3 linked regions of the Caenorhabditis elegans genome follow. The protein of the gene in region 1 purifies or fractionates together with the protein of each later gene. This does not show direct contact. Each region holds a gene or a part of one and is shown in the gene's direction. Other genes may lie near its edges.

Region 1 (5,523 bases):
TTTTGTTGAAAAAAGTGTTGATCCAACCCAATTCAATTCGATTTCCGGTGCCCCCTTGGAATAATTTTGGATACAAAGCTTTCAACTCTTCTGTTCTGTTCTCTATTTCCCTATTTTGCTCGCCGTCTTCTCCTCCTCCACCCGTCCGGCTTCTCCTCTTCTTGGACATTTTATCGATTTTGTTCTTCTTCGGTGTTGTGTCTCTCTCTCTCTCCCCCCCCCCTTTTCGATGTGTGGGCCAACACAACAATCCCCACATTTCTGCGTCTCGTGTTCTCACCCTCATCCGGTTGTGTCTGCGTCTATGGCTTGTAGGTTCTCGAACTTTCAGTTCTAGATGTCCTAGACTTCAATTTTGAAGGTCTCAACTGGATATTATTACAGTTCGGAAGTCTTGAATAATACTAGATCCAACCCAGATGTCCTCAGATGTTATTTGATCTCTCCAGTCTCTCGCCGTCGCTCCCTTCTCTCAGTCCATTTTGGACGCTCATTTCGACCGCCATCCCGTTTGGGGTTAACCGCGGAGAGAGTGAGTGAGAAAGGGAATGAGCGCTCAAATTCACTCTCACTCACACTCACACGCAGCAGCATCATCTCGTAGACCCTCTCTGGTTGTTGCTGTCTCTGATGACAAACATTCCCTAACTGGGCGCCCCTGTGTTCGTCGTTGCCACGTGTCATTCTATGTCGGCGATTCGGCCATTTGAAGCTCGATCCACGTGTCGCTAGGACAGCTGACGTCATCTTTTCAACTATTATGTTTACTGCGATTATACGAATCAATTGGTGAAATTATTTAGAATAACCTATTTTTTGAGTTGTTTACGATTTTGAAGTCACTTGACTGAAAACTTTCACAGAAAAGGTCTTAAATGAAATGAAACTCTTGCGTAGACTTGATGAAGTTCTGTGAAACTCCTACGTACTCTTGAATAGTAATCGAAAATTATTGATTTCTACTTCCAATCTACTCAAAAGTTAAAAAATATTTCGCAACACATCTTTTCCCCATTCTTTTCTGTATTTTTTAGCAATTTACCTTAAAATCTTCAATAATTCCAGCCTACGATGCAGTCGTCGCTTCGGAAATTGTCGAACACGTCGCCGATCTTCCCGGATTCATTGGCTGCCTCGCTGAGCTGGCTCGCCCCGGTGCCCCGCTCTTCATCACAACTATCAACAGAACGTGGCTGAGCAAATTGGCAGCTATTTGGCTTGCAGAGGTTTGATTTTTTTCTTTCTTTTTTTTTTGGAAATAAATTTGAAAATTTTCAGAATGTACTCAAAATCGTGCCGCCCGGAGTCCACGACTGGGAAAAATTCATCACACCCGCCGAGCTCACTTCACATCTCGAAAAAGCGGGTTGCCGGGTGACGGCGGTGCATGGATTAATGTTTCATCCGGTTGGAAATCACTGGACATGGATCGAATCGACTCAGTGTAATTACGGAATTTTGGCAGTGAAGAATTAGATTTGAAGATTTTTTGTTTAGTGTTGCTAGTTTTTTTTTCATGTTTCCATATGTTACTGGTGCTATTTTTTTTAATTTTCAAAAAAAAAAATAATTTGAGACCTAACTCTTTTAAATGTCAAACAATTGGGTTTGATCTACCCGCAAAATATCTGATTTTCAACAACTTTATTCTCTGCGTCTCTCCCTCCCTCCCTCTCACTCTCTTTCTTCAGTTTTTATAATTATTTTCTTGAATTCTAAAATTTCCTTTTTGAAATTCAACTTTTCTTTCAGTTTCTCTTTCCCCGCAATTTTCCAAATCACAATCCGATCAATTTTCAGGAGTTCCAACCAATTCCCCGAAAAACTCGCTCGAAATGGATGAGGAATACGATGCCATCGTTCTCGGAACCGGCCTCAAGGAGTGCATCATCTCGGGAATGCTGTCGGTTTCCGGAAAGAAGGTTCTCCACATTGACCGAAACAACTATTATGGAGGAGAGTCAGCTTCACTGACTCCACTTGAGCAACTCTACGAGAAATTCCACGGTCCACAAGCCAAGCCACAACAGGAGATGGGACGTGGACGTGACTGGAACGTCGACTTGATTCCAAAGTTTTTGATGGCCAACGGGCCATTGGTCAAGCTTCTCATCCATACTGGAGTCACTCGCTACTTGGAATTCAAGTCGATTGAGGCCTCGTTCGTTGTGAAGGGTGGAAAGATCTACAAGGTGCCGGCCGATGAGATGGAGGCTCTTGCCACTTCCCTTATGGGAATGTTCGAGAAACGTCGCTTCAAGAAGTTCCTCGTCTGGGTGCAACAATTCGATGAGAACAAGGAGGACACTTGGCAAGGACTTGACCCACACAACAGCACAATGCAGCAGGTTTACGAGAAGTTTGGCCTTGACGAGAACACCGCCGATTTCACCGGACACGCGCTGGCCCTCTACCGTGACGATGAGCACAAGAATCAACCATACGCTCCAGCTGTTGAGAAGATCCGATTGTACTCTGACTCATTGGCTCGTTATGGAAAGTCACCATACTTGTACCCATTGTACGGATTGGGAGAACTTCCACAGGGATTCGCTCGTCTCTCGGCCATCTACGGAGGAACCTACATGCTCGACAAGCCAGTCGACGAGATTGTGATGGAGAATGGAAAGGCTATTGGAGTCAAGTGTGGAGATGAGATTGTCCGTGGAAAGCAGATCTACTGCGATCCCTCATACGCCAAGGATCGTGTCAAGAAGACTGGACAAGTTGTCCGAGCCATTTGTTTGTTGAACCATCCAATTCCAAATACAAATGATGCTCAATCCTGCCAGATTATCATTCCACAAAAGCAAGTTGGAAGACATTATGGTAAATTTATAGTCTTGGAAAAGCAGCGCGTCGCACAGAAAAGAGGTAGGGCGTAATTTTGCAATCTTGCGGCACGGGTTTTTCCTACTTTTTTTGTTAATGTTTGAATGAAAATATTATCGAATTTAATTATCCGAAGACTAAAATAGTCTCACGATCCTATGAGAATTAGGTAAAATTGAAACTTTATTGAAAAATAAATTAAAAGGAGGAAAAACCGAGCCGCCGGTTTGCCAATTTACTCTCCGCCTCTTTTTCTGTGCGACTCGCTGCTTTTTGCAAAACTCACGCTTTCAGCATCACTAATTCCCTTTTTTTCAGACATCTACATCTCATGCTGCTCCAACACGAACATGGTGACACCAAAGGGATGGTATTTGGCAATGGTCTCCACCACTGTCGAGACAGCCAATCCAGAGGCTGAAGTTCTTCCAGGACTTCAACTTCTTGGCGCAATTGCCGAGAAGTTCATTCAGATTTCCGATGTTTATGAGCCATCTGACTTGGGATCTGAGTCACAGATCTTCATCTCTCAATCTTATGATGCTACGACTCACTTTGAAACCACTTGCAAGGTAATTTAAAGAATTTAAAACAATTTTTGAAAGAAATTATAATTATTCATTTTTCAGGACGTGCTCAACATGTTCGAACGTGGAACGACCAAAGAATTCGACTTCACCAACATCACTCACTTGTCGTTGAATGATCAGGAATAATTGAATATCCATTCCCTTCTTTTGAGTACTCTGATTTGACGCTTCTGATGCTGCTTTTGCTCTTTTTTGTCGCCTCTATAAAAAAAACGATTCCCGTTCCGTTTGTTTCTCCTGTCCAATGTTCATTTTCAACCGATTTTAATTTATTGTATTTTCTCTTTTCCAGTCTCTATCCTCATGTGATTCCCCGAGAACCCTTTTTTTAAATTTCAATTTTCGTCCCGAAAACAAAATTTCTTCCCACTATTTCCTTTGTATTTAACTTTACAATTCCCAAACAAAGTCCGCTTCGTAAATCTATAAATCACTTTATCCTTTTGAAGTACTTCATTACAGAAATACAATTATTATCACGATCAGAAAGTTTGGATAGGATGGGATTACATTTGATGAAGGGAGATCATTTCCATTTGAAAATTGGAGAAGAATAAGCATATATGTTTTTACATAATTGATTAAAGAAAAAATCCCAGTTTAAGCCATCACAAGCAGAGCATCGAGCTGATCATCGACACGTTGCATCATCTTTTTGTACAAATCCTCCATATTCTCGAGCAATGCCATTTTCAGTCCGAATTGTAGAGACTCGTCTTTAGCGAGAAGAGCACGTGTGACGACCGCATATGTTTCACAATCGTTGCGAAAAGCCTGAAAAATAGAAAATTTGACTCAAATTAGTCAATGAGTAACTTGAAAACTTACCGATTCGAGTTGCTTCTTCTTAATATGGAAACGCATCATTTGCTCATCGTTGAGCTTCGCAAGCTTCAACTCCCTCACCATCGCCTTCTCCTCGTCCGCCGAGTCATCTTCAGTGGCTAGTGATGAGAGACGGAGAGTAGAGAATCCAGCTGAAATTATATATTGTTTTTCGAAAAAGCCCCCGCCGGTTGTCAATGGTTACCTTCGTCTTCTTCCTTTCTCGCTGGCGGCTCATACTTGACAGTGGAGAGGAGAGCAGATTGGAAGGCTTTGAGATGACCAAAGAGTCTGGAAAACATTGATTTTTTGAGGGAAATATTAAAAATTAGAGAATAAATATTAGTTTTTCAGGGAATTTCGAAATTCATACTTATTCGTGTTGGGGTGCATTGTAATGTCGGGCATACTTGAACCACCACTGATAGCAGACCCATTCATAGCAACTGGGTGAGCAGCGGCAGAAGCAGAAGCAGCAGCAGCTGAAACCACTGGAGCCGGCAGAGAAGAAGGCATAACTATTTCGATTCTGCCAATTTGACGGGGCACAAACGCAGGTTGGGGCGTGGTCGGTGGTGGTTGTGGTGGACTAAAACGGATTACACAAACGTGAAAATTTGCCCCGCGGGGAATATGGTACCGGGTCTCGACACGAAAAATTTTTGTTAAATACTTACAAACAGGTGCGCACCTTTAAAGAGTACTGTAGCTTCTAAATTTCCTAGCAGTGCTTTCAATTGTTTTTCTCACGATTTGTTAAAATAAAAAATGATTTTCAACAAAAAATCGACAAATATTTCAGTACACTTTAAAGGCGCATACCTGTTTGTATTTATCAAAAAAAAAAACTGTCGCTTGGAGACCACGAACCGTATTTTTGGAGCAAAACTCTCAAAAAATTTGGCGTCTGGGTAATGAACTTACGCTGTAGGGAGTTGTGGTGGTATTGGTTGCTGTTGTTGCTGTTGTTGCTGAATAGGTGTAGTGGTATAATAAGAATTGACTTGAACTGGCGGTTGAGCAGGTTGTGGGGCTGAAAATTCAAAAATTGACACTAAATAGATATCGAAAAATTTCAAGAAAAGCTTTTATGGCGGTTCCAAAAATTTCGAAAAAATGGGCCAATTTTAACTAAACCCTGAATTTTCGGCAATTTTCCCTGGTCGCAGCGGTTATAAATTCATTTTTTTGTTCGATTATTGTTTTATTTTACAGATAAAAATCTATTTCCGGCCGTTGTGACTCTTGAAAATCGGCGAAATTTCAGATTTGAGTT
Region 2 (5,383 bases), on another chromosome or scaffold:
AAAAGTCCGAGCAAAAGCGCAAGGAGAAAGTTATCGAGGACAAGACGTTCGGATTGAAAAACAAGAAAGGAAATAAAAACCAGAAGTTTGTGGCACAAGTTGAAAATCAAGTCCGTAACAACAATACTCGTATGGATCTTGTCCGACAACAAGAAGCAGCTAAAAAAAAAGAAAAAGACGAGCTTCTCGATATTGCCAATCTTTTGAAACCTGTGGAACAAAAAGTCGCAAAAGGTTGCCACTTTTAGATCGAAAAAAATTAAACTGTTGTGAATTTTTCAGATGTCGATCCAAAATCTCTTCTCTGTGTATTCTTCAAACAAGGTCTTTGCGGAAAAGGAGCAAAGTGCAAATTCAGTCACGATTTGGCAGTTGCTCAGAAGACAGCGAAGAAGAACCTGTATGCAGACAGCAGAGAAGTCGAAAAAGACGGTTTGCACCAAATTAAACGTTTTTTTTTGTAATTTCTAAGCATTCCAGAAGAAACAAACGAGAACTGGGACTCGGACAAATTGAATGAAGTGGTCAATAAGAAAAATAAAAATAAACATATGATTGATATTGTAAGCAGTTTCATGACAGACATTTTTAAGTTTAAAAAATTGAATTTTAAGGTTTGCAAGTACTTCTTGGAAGCTGTAGAGAACAACAAGTACGGTTGGTTTTGGGAATGTCCGAATGGAGGAGAAAAATGTCAATATCGGCATTGTCTACCAGAAGGATATGTTTTGAAAAAGGAACGGAAAGCAATGGAGCAACAAAAAGAAGATGAAATTAGTATTGAGGAACTTGTTGAGAAAGAGGTATACTTATAGGGGAAAATAGTGGCAAAAACATTGTTAAAAGTTATTTCAATTTGAAAGACCACATAAATTAAATTTTATTCCAATTTTTCGTAAGAATTATAGTTTAACATTTCCAGAGAGCCGCTTTGAGTTCGAAAAATCTCACAAAATTAACACTCCAAACCTTCATTGCCTGGAAGAAGAAGAAGTTAAGAGAGCGAAAAGAGAAAGAAGAAGCCGATTTGAAAGAAAAGAAAGAGAAGATCAAATCTGGAAAACATGTAAGAAATTTGAATTTTTATTTAAATTTACTACTTTAATTTCTGTTTCTCGTCTCTTTACATAAATTAATGTTTTCTTTTTTTAGAATGGAATGTCTGGACGTGATCTTTTCTTATATGACGCCAATCTGGTCAACAACGACGACGACGAGGCCGGAGATATTGAGATGGAGAAGGAAGAAGTTGATGTTAGTTTTTGAAATTAATTATTTTAATTTTACAAAAATTTAAATAATTTCAGGAGAATGAAAAGGTATTTGAAATCGATGCCAACTTCTTCAAATTCGACGGAATGGACGATGAACTGACGGATCAAATGAGCAAATCCTCGACTGCTGTTGAATCTACTGCTAAAGGTAATTTTTTTCAGTGCGTAAATAAAAAACAATTTTCGTCAAATTTGAATGGCTAATTTTTCTGTTAAAAAACTATTTTTGACACGTGGCTTTTCTCTGGCTGTCAATATCCTCATTTCATTCTTATCAACACAAAAAAATTCAAACATCATTTTGGCTGTCACTTCAAAATCTGTTATCTTTCGGCAAAAATCAATTGAATTTCTCCCTTTCCCACAGACACACGTTTTGCAAAAAAAAAAACGTTTTCTTTATTGTGTCTGGGTCTCTTGTGGCGAGCCGACACACTATCTCAAAAACTAATTTCAAAAATTGCAGGAATGGCAAAGATGGACATCAACGAGGACTTGTTCGACATTGACGAAGACGTTGAAAACCTCGATTCTGATGAGGATTGAAGAGTATACTTCTGGTGCTCCCCCTTTTTTCCTGTTCTTTTTCTGTTTTTGCTTTGAATTTCAGTGTTTCTTTTTTCCCGATTCCCCTGCTATCTATTATTATTTCTTGTTTGTCACGACTAACCGGTAGTCCCAATTTTCTCTGTATTTGATTATTTTTTTCAAATTACAAGGGACTATTATTTGAAGTTTTCTCCATTTTTTGGTGTCGTTTTGTTATAAATTCATTACAATTCAGATGATTTATTTTAATTTTGAAAAAATATCGGTTTTGCCCGATTCATTTATCTTTTATTTTAATCTTCAAATAATGCGTGAACTTTTGATTGAAAAAATTAATTAACTTGGAAATCCTATAAAAGTTTATTTTAAAATTATTGCGATCTTCAGATGAGTTCCCGAGCCGTAAGCCTCTTCTCAAAATGTGGATCCAGAATCTCCCAAACTCGAGGAAAAGCTCACTTCACGTTTCAACCATCAACCACACTTCCAGCAGGACTTGAAAATCTTGAAAAGACTAAAATGAATTTGATGCAGTCTGTTAATGAAGCGATGAGAATTGCAATGGAAACAGATGATTCTGCTGTTCTTTTTGGTGAAGATGTTGCTTTTGGTGGTGTCTTCAGATGTAGTTTGGATCTTCAAAAGAAGTTCGGAAAAGATCGAGTCTTCAATACTCCACTTTGTGAGCAGGGAATTGCTGGATTCGGAATTGGAGTCGCAGCGGCTGGAGCAACTGCCATTGCTGAGATTCAGTTTGGTGATTACATCTTCCCAGCTTATGATCAGGTAATATCCGGAATAAATATTATGGAAATAAAAAAAATTATTCCAGCTTGTCAACGAGGCAGCCAAGTTCAGATACCGTTCGGGAAATCAATTTGACTGTGGAAAACTGACTGTAAGAACAACATGGGGAGCCGTAGGACATGGAGCTCTATACCATTCACAGAGTCCTGAAGCTAACTTCACCCATACCCCAGGATTAAAGCTTGTTGTTCCACGTGGGCCAGTTCAAGCCAAAGGACTTCTTCTGTCGTGCATTCGTGATCCGAATCCATGTATTTTCTTCGAACCAAAGATTCTTTATCGATTGGCTTCTGAAGATGTTCCAACTGGAGATTACACAATTCCACTGGGACAAGCTGAAACTGTTCGTTCTGGAAAAGATTTGACACTTGTTGCCTGGGGAACACAGGTTCATGTTGCTCTTGAAGCAGCTCAATTGGCCAAGGAGAAGCTCAATGCAGATGTTGAAGTTATTGATCTTCAGACGATTCAACCTTGGGACGAGGATCATGTAGTAGAGGTGAATTATTACAAAATTCTGCGAATGCGTATTGCGCAACATATTTGACGCGCAAAATATCTCGTAACGCAAAGTACAGTAATTCTTTAAGTGACTACTGAAGCGTCGATTTACGGGCTCGATTCTTGAAATTAATTTTTTGCGATTAGTTCGTTTCTCCGTTTGGATTTTAATATTCTATCGATAAATCAATGATCTAGCCCGTAAATCGACACAAGCGCTGCAGAAGTCATTTAAAGAACTACTGTAGTTTTCGCTGCGAGATATTTTGCGTTTTTTGTTTGTGTTCGCGTAATATTTGGATGTTGAGTGATTAAATATGAATTATTTTTCAGAGTGTTCAAAAAACTGGTCGACTCATTGTCACTCATGAAGCTCCGATTTCTTCTGGTTTTGGAGCTGAAATTGCTTCTACTGTTCAGGTAAATAATTTATATTTTACTTTCCTTTTTCAAATAATAAATTAACAATCAAAAATATTACAGAAACGTTGCTTCCTGAACCTTGAATCTCCAATAGATCGTGTTGCTGGATTCGATACACCATTCCCACACGTTCACGAACCATTCTACCTGCCAACTGTTCATCGAGTTTTCGACGCAATCAAGAAGAGTGTTAACTATTAGAATATGTATTTGATATAAGAAATTATACAAGGTAACAACGAAACCGTGTAGAAAAGTAGAATATTTTCTTGTTTTAGCCTAATTTTCTGTTCAAACGGTGCCATCTGCATTTTAAATCACCCATATTTTATTCCGGTCCAAATCGCTAAACCCATCATCATAAATGTGTTGGTTTTTGACATTATATGTCGAACATTCCCTCAATTGCTCGTTTTAGATATTTTCAGTGTGCTATAGTTCTTTTATGTGTTTTATGAATAAATGTATGAATTGATTTTTCTAAAAGTATTTTCATCTTTTTTCTTCGTTGGATTCTCATCTAATATTTGATTTTTGATTTTTCCTGTAAAAACGGGAAATGCGGATTTTCAGATCTCTTCAAAAAGCGGGATGAACCATATAATAGCTGCGGGTCTTCTAATCATTGTCTCAATTGCATCAATTATTCCTGGATTTCCTGTGCTCATCTGGCTTCAGAGTTATTTCCCAGAGCTCCCAGAATATTACACAATTGATAGTATTGCTGTCTATAGTGTTCAGGTTAATATTCTCATTTTCATCAGATACCTGTAATATTACCCGGTTCCAAAATTTTGCAATTTTTGACATACAATACTTTATCTCGAAGCGACCGAAAGATCCCAGTTACCGTACCCACAAGTCTTCCTACCGCATATTTGCATCTTTCTGTTCAATGTTTTTTGCAATCACTGGAAAATTTGGAAAGAAGCTCAAATTGTAAGAAATACTGATATAAGCAACATTAAAAAGCGAGAAACTTGCGGGTACGGTAACCATGAAGTTTTCGGGCCCAAAATTGCATCTTTTCTAAACTAAGTAACTTGTAGACTGCTAATTTTGTTTCAGTTTTTGAATTTAATTTTCAGGCCGGAATTATCTTCATCCTCGGAATCCTGTCAATGTGTCTCTACTCGGACATCGCTTGCCCACTTGCCATCAAGGGATATGCTGCCATTTTTTCCAGAATGTGATTAATTAATTATATATTGCCAAATTTGAATTTTTCTGTGAAAATGTACAAATCGAAATAACAATTTTTTATGCTATGAATTTTTTTCGCATAACACTTTGAAAAGAAGCATACGTAAATATGAGCGTATTACGTGAACACTTAACTTTTGGAATGTATATTGCGAAACATATTTAACGCTCAAAACATCCCGTAGCGAAAACTACAGTAACTCTTTGAATGACTACTGTAGCACTGGTGTCGATTTACTGAAATCTTTTATTTGTCGATAAAATATTGGAACAAAACACAACAATGGCAAAACGAAACGAGAAAACTAAATAAAATTTTATATCGATGCCACAATTCGGACAGAAATTCGTTTCAAAAATCGAGCCCGTTTTGCTTAAAAGTACTGTAATTCCCAACTCTTCTTATTTTTCTTTGTGGGGGATGATTTTTTCTAATTACACGTATGACCACACCATGACCAAATACACTGAAAATCATAAAAAGGGTGTATTTGCACAAATTGCAAAAAAGGCCAAATTTTTTGAAATCTGTGCAAACATGCTAAACAGTTTTGTGATTTTCAGTGTATCATAATGAAAAACTCCAAAGTTAGTTTTTTTTAATTTTTCAAACCCTCAAGATTCAA
Region 3 (5,062 bases), on another chromosome or scaffold:
GGGGGTGCTCTGGAATTGCCGGACAAGAACTAGTTACAATGGAGACAAAAAACCGACTCACTGTAGAATTGCAGTTTCAGATCTGGACATTCTGCTGAAATCCCTGGGCATACTTTTTCTGGAAACCAAATAATCTCAAGTGATACCCTTTTGATAGCTTACCTGTTACAGTTGAAACTTCCACTACAGGCGTTGTCATCATTTCCTACAAGCATCTGTTTATTGGCAACACTATCAGATCTACTTCAATCGAAGTATAACAAAATACCTCAGTCATGCCAGTCTCAGCATGTGTAGTAGGAGCAGCAGTCTCTGGAGCCAATGTGGTAGGCGGGTCCACCTCCGGAGCTAATGTGCTCGAAATATATACGTCCTTTCGTGGAACCATTCGCATACAACTTTCTGTTAAAACCGCCAAGGATGAAATAATAGAACACACGGATATAAAATAGAAGTTCATAGCGACTGTGAAGCTAAATGGCAAAATGTGTACTTATTATCCTCGGAATCGAAAATCCAGTTACTCAAATGTTTCCAAGTCTAGCGAAGCGATATGATAAGACTAGAAACAAATTGAACCAGACAGATCAGTTGATACAGGATCACATGAAGATCAACATAGTCCATCTTTCGGAAGACTAGACAAGCTTCTTGATAAGAAAACCAACAAGATAAGGTGATCTATCCGTGATACGGATCTTATCATGACAGGTGATGATCTAATAGCATACGACTAGATTTTCCCTAGGTCTGATTAGAAAATATTGCCCCCAGTTTTGAAGATTCACTCCGGAAAGTTCCTAAATTTCTGAGGTCCACATCAGAGATGGGCGGCTTTTATTACGCGTTTGTTTTATCTTCCTAGTAACGTTCAAAATGTAACTTTTTTGAACAAATTTTTTCTCTGAGTTTCAGATTTTACAAAGAGCGATCAGGTATTTTCATATTAATCACTGCAATAATCGGTTTTTTTTTTCGTATCGATTTTGAGACATTTTCACCCAATTGATTGACACTTCCTAGTGGGACGTTCTCACCTGTTACCCCATAGTGTGAAAACGTTCAGGTGAGAACCTTCAAAATAGTCATTTTGCAAGGTTCTCACCTAAACCTTTTCCCACTATTAACCGTGATCATCATCCCGGGAGTGCAAATCTGAAGAATCGATACCAAGCCATCCCATTCTATATCTCCCCATTCATTCTTCATTATTCTCCCAGCCATGTCTGCTCCGTCTTTCCCCATCCTCCGTCTTCCAGCGAAGGCCCTTCGTTCTACTCTTCAGAATTTTAAATTCGCGGATTTTTGAGTTTAACTTATATATTTTCTATGTTTACTAAAATAATAAATTACAGAATGAGTTTCTCCCTGATCTCTCCAACATCCGTAAAGCTTCTGAACATCGAAGCAGGAAATGTGTGCGTAGTTCTGGATCACCTTATGGGTATCATTGTTTGGTCTGCCAATGGATGCTGCAGGTTCTTATTCATTCCTCCTTCAGACGACGTTGAGGAGCACTTTACGAATTGGATATTGCTCAATGAAAGCTTTTCGATGAGACGTTGCGTTGAGAATTTGCTCGTCGCTCTGGATCTTCTGGAAATTGATATGTTGTTTGTTATGGATGAAGATGTGATCTATGACGAGCTGAAAGGAATCAAGTTGTGGAAGCTCGTGATGGGAGAGAACAACCCAACGATGTTCGATCTCTACTACCGTGACGCCATGAATATCAGCATTGCCGACAGAGCTCTCCTTGGTGAGCAGTTCAGGGCTCTAGTCTCCGAGAACTTGGATCGCCTGGAGTTTACTGCAGAATGTGTCATCGGACTTGACGATCTGCTCTCATGCAACGCTCAGGATCTTTAGATCTGAAAATCGAGCACCCATTCTCTTTATCTGATTTGAATCTGTTTCTCAGACATCTCATCAATGGGTCGAATCCTAGATTGGCAGAAGCTCATATTGCACTGGCAGAGGACAACCTTGAGAACTACAAAGAAGTTTTGCTGAAAGGTATCGAGTACCGGACGTCTCGCTCTTCCGATATCTACCAAGATGGATTTTTGATTAAAGACTTGGCACTTTGTCGCAACGATGGAGTTGAAGTATGGGCTTCCGTGGATCCAAGAAGCCAGAACTTCTACTTGTTTGCTGATCTGGATAAATCTCCATTTCGCCATAAGTGACGTTGTGCTTGCTCAAGAAATTAGTGAAAGTACACAACATTTTAGTCTTTTCTGTTAAAAAATTATATTTTACAACTTTTTGGTGTTTAATTTTTTCTATTGTATACTGGCTTGCTCCCTAGGTTTTATATTGCTAATATAATTTGTATCCCCATTTTTTTTCTCATCGATCGTAAATTGAATGAATGAACATTAGACGGAGAAAGTTATTGAAATTTTATCAGAAACCAAATCGATCAATTTTGCCATATCAATTTTGCCATTCTAGCGGTGAGGTGTCGGAAGCACGTCCTGAACAAGGAAGCTCCAAATAAAAACCCATCAACTTATTTATATAAATTAATTAAATACATAACGTGAAGTTTAAAAAAAACAACAAATGTGGACAACAACGTGGAAATAAAATCCACTTCGATTTTTCATCAATTTCAATTTCTCAAAGAAAAATGTCTACTTCCTTCAAAGAGTTTGCAATCAGCCAAACTATCCGGAACATCTCCAAATTTCTGAATGGAGAGCAATACTTCACTGATGTGGAAGAACGATTTAATATTCCATGGTTAGTTGATTTAAAGATTTAAAGATTCTTTGAATATAACTAACGTGTTACAGGAGAATGAGAATATGCAAGCTCAATGGTGATTTGGTATTTTATTTGCAATGTGACAAAGAAGAATGTGAAACCAGGAAGTTTTCTGTCGAAACAGAGTTCACGTTGAAGTTGGTGTCGCCTTATGGGAGAAGTTTGACCAGGAATAAGGTGCACACATTCAAAGAGCTGAAAATGGGAGGTTGGCACAAATTCATCAGTTGGGAGGAACTGGAAAATGACTATATGGTTGATGACAGTGTTATAATTGAAGCGTATGTCAAGATTATTAAAATTTCAAGTAAGTTGAAAAAAAGTTACTTTAGAGACCCAAACGATACTACTTATTCCAGATGTCCCGTGCATTGCTCCCAAGAATCTGAAAACATTTATGCTAAATCAAACTGTTAGAAATGTTTCCAACATTCGAGAAGGAAATAAATATCTTACTAACACTGAAGTTCGTTTTGGTATTCCATGGTTAGTCAATAAGAAGAGAGAACTCTACTTTAACAATCATATTTTTAAGGTGTCTCGTGATTAAAAGAAAGGATGGATTTTTCAAACTATTCTTACGATGCTATAAAAAAACGTCTAGAATCAATAATTGGTCCATTGGAGTTAAATACACGCTGAAATTGATGTCCGTGGATGGCCAGAGATTATTATACAACACAAAACACACTTATACAAATAATACGGATTGCGGCTGGGATAAGATAATCAGGTGGAAGGATATGGAGGAGAGATTTCTGGTGAACGACAGTATCATTATTGAAGTTTGCGCGAACATTGTGGAGATGACTGGATGTGAGGATGTAGATGATTTAAGCGAAGAGCTCTCTTTTATTATGTGATCACTATTGGAGGACACAATTACTCGGTGGAAATTCTCATGTGAATAAATTTTAATAAAATTAAAACTGTACCTTTCCAAGTCGCTCACAAATTCTGTAAATTGCTGCACTTTTTCATGACCAGTGTTTTATTCGAGAAAATTATTATTCATTTATTAGGCTTAAAAATTGATTATTCAAATATTAAATTAAATTCATACAAAGTAATCCATTTTATAATATGCACGGCATATTTCAACAAACGTGACGTTTCTAAAAAAAATCCAGCGTGTTTTAAAAAAACAACAAATGCTAGCGTGGAAAAAAAATCCACTTCGATTTTTCATCCATTTCAATTTTGCAAAGAAAAATGTCTACTTCTTGCAAAGAGTTTGCAATCAGCCAAACTGTCCGAAATATCTCCCAATTTCTGAATGGAGAACAATACTTCACTGATGTGGAAGAACGATTTAATATTCCATGGTTAGTTGATTTAAAGGTTTAAAGATTCTTTGAATATAATCAATGTATTACAGGAGAATTAGAATATGGAGGCACAATGGTTATCTGGTATTATATTTGCAATGTGACAAAGAACAATGTGAAACCAGAAAATTGACCGTCGAAACTGAGTTTACATTGAAGTTGGTATCACCTTATGGAACAAGTTTGGCAAGGAATCAAGTGCACACATTTGTAGAGCTGAAAGGGAGAGGTTGGCACAAATTTATCAGTTGGGAGGAACTGGAAAGTGACTATGTAATTGATGACAGTACCATAATTGAAGCGCATGTCAAGATTATTAAAGTTACAAGTGAGTTGGAATAAAGTTGAGATACCAGACTTTGCATGAGGCTGAACACTAATTAATTCAATTTTGTTTTTGTGAGTCAAGACGTAAAAGAGAAAGTTTTCGCTTTGAGACCAATTTTTGGGCATCAGCAGGAATGATAAAAATATACTAGTCATTACAGATATCACGTGCATTGCTCCCAAGAATCTGAAAACATTTATGCTGAATCGCAGTGTTAGAAATGTTTCCAACATTCGAGAAGGAAGTAGATATCATACTAACACTGAAGTTCGTTTTGGTATTCCATGGTTAGTCAATTAGAAGACATAACTCTATTTTAACAATCATATTTTTAAGGTGTCTCGTGATTCAAAGAAAAGATGGATTTTTCAAATTATTCCTACGATGCTATAAACAAGCGTCTAGAATCAATAATTGGTCTATCCGAGTTGAGTACACGCTAAAATTGATGTCAGTAGATGGTCAGAGCCTACTATTCAACACACAATACACTTTCAAAGCTGGATATGATAGCGGCTGGGATAAAATAATCAGATGGAATGATATGGAGGAGAGATTTATGGTTAACGACAGTATCATTATTGAAGTTCGCGCGAAGATTGTAGAGATGACTGGATGTGAGGATGATGTAGAT

What was found.
Region 2: the proteins of gdi-1 (region 1) and bckd-1B fractionate together in Caenorhabditis elegans (co-fractionation; one large-scale study listed by BioGRID). This does not show direct contact.
Region 3: the proteins of gdi-1 (region 1) and math-48 fractionate together in Caenorhabditis elegans (co-fractionation; one large-scale study listed by BioGRID). This does not show direct contact.

What each region holds. Positions count from the first base shown.
Region 1 is NC_003282.8:14,789,163-14,794,685, reverse strand, and holds gdi-1 (Rab GDP dissociation inhibitor), read left to right. Parts: upstream 1-1,835; coding exon 1,836-2,874; intron 2,875-3,150; coding exon 3,151-3,404; intron 3,405-3,461; coding exon 3,462-3,548; downstream 3,549-5,523. Other genes in the region: coq-3 (Ubiquinone biosynthesis O-methyltransferase, mitochondrial), read left to right, coding at 1,066-1,226, 1,279-1,476; melo-1 (RRM domain-containing protein), read right to left, coding at 4,023-4,196, 4,251-4,399, 4,453-4,538, 4,621-4,836, 5,172-5,280.
Region 2 is NC_003279.8:7,725,057-7,730,439, forward strand, and holds bckd-1B (2-oxoisovalerate dehydrogenase subunit beta, mitochondrial), read left to right. Parts: upstream 1-2,210; coding exon 2,211-2,609; intron 2,610-2,655; coding exon 2,656-3,129; intron 3,130-3,464; coding exon 3,465-3,551; intron 3,552-3,614; coding exon 3,615-3,755; 3' UTR 3,756-4,036; downstream 4,037-5,383. Other genes in the region: F27D4.4 (Zinc finger CCCH domain-containing protein 15 homolog), read left to right, coding at 1-234, 283-432, 481-563, 615-803, 923-1,066, 1,153-1,254, 1,308-1,422, 1,741-1,820; F27D4.8 (Chromate transporter), read left to right, coding at 4,146-4,295, 4,643-4,747.
Region 3 is NC_003280.10:1,944,091-1,949,152, reverse strand, and holds math-48 (MATH domain-containing protein), read left to right. Parts: upstream 1-2,625; 5' UTR 2,626-2,635; coding exon 2,636-2,748; intron 2,749-2,801; coding exon 2,802-3,079; intron 3,080-3,131; coding exon 3,132-3,258; intron 3,259-3,307; coding exon 3,308-3,635; 3' UTR 3,636-3,715; downstream 3,716-5,062. Other genes in the region: ZK250.2 (DUF281 domain-containing protein), read right to left, coding at 62-118, 163-205, 269-460; ZK250.14 (MATH domain-containing protein), read left to right, coding at 3,985-4,097, 4,151-4,428, 4,589-4,715, 4,765-5,062.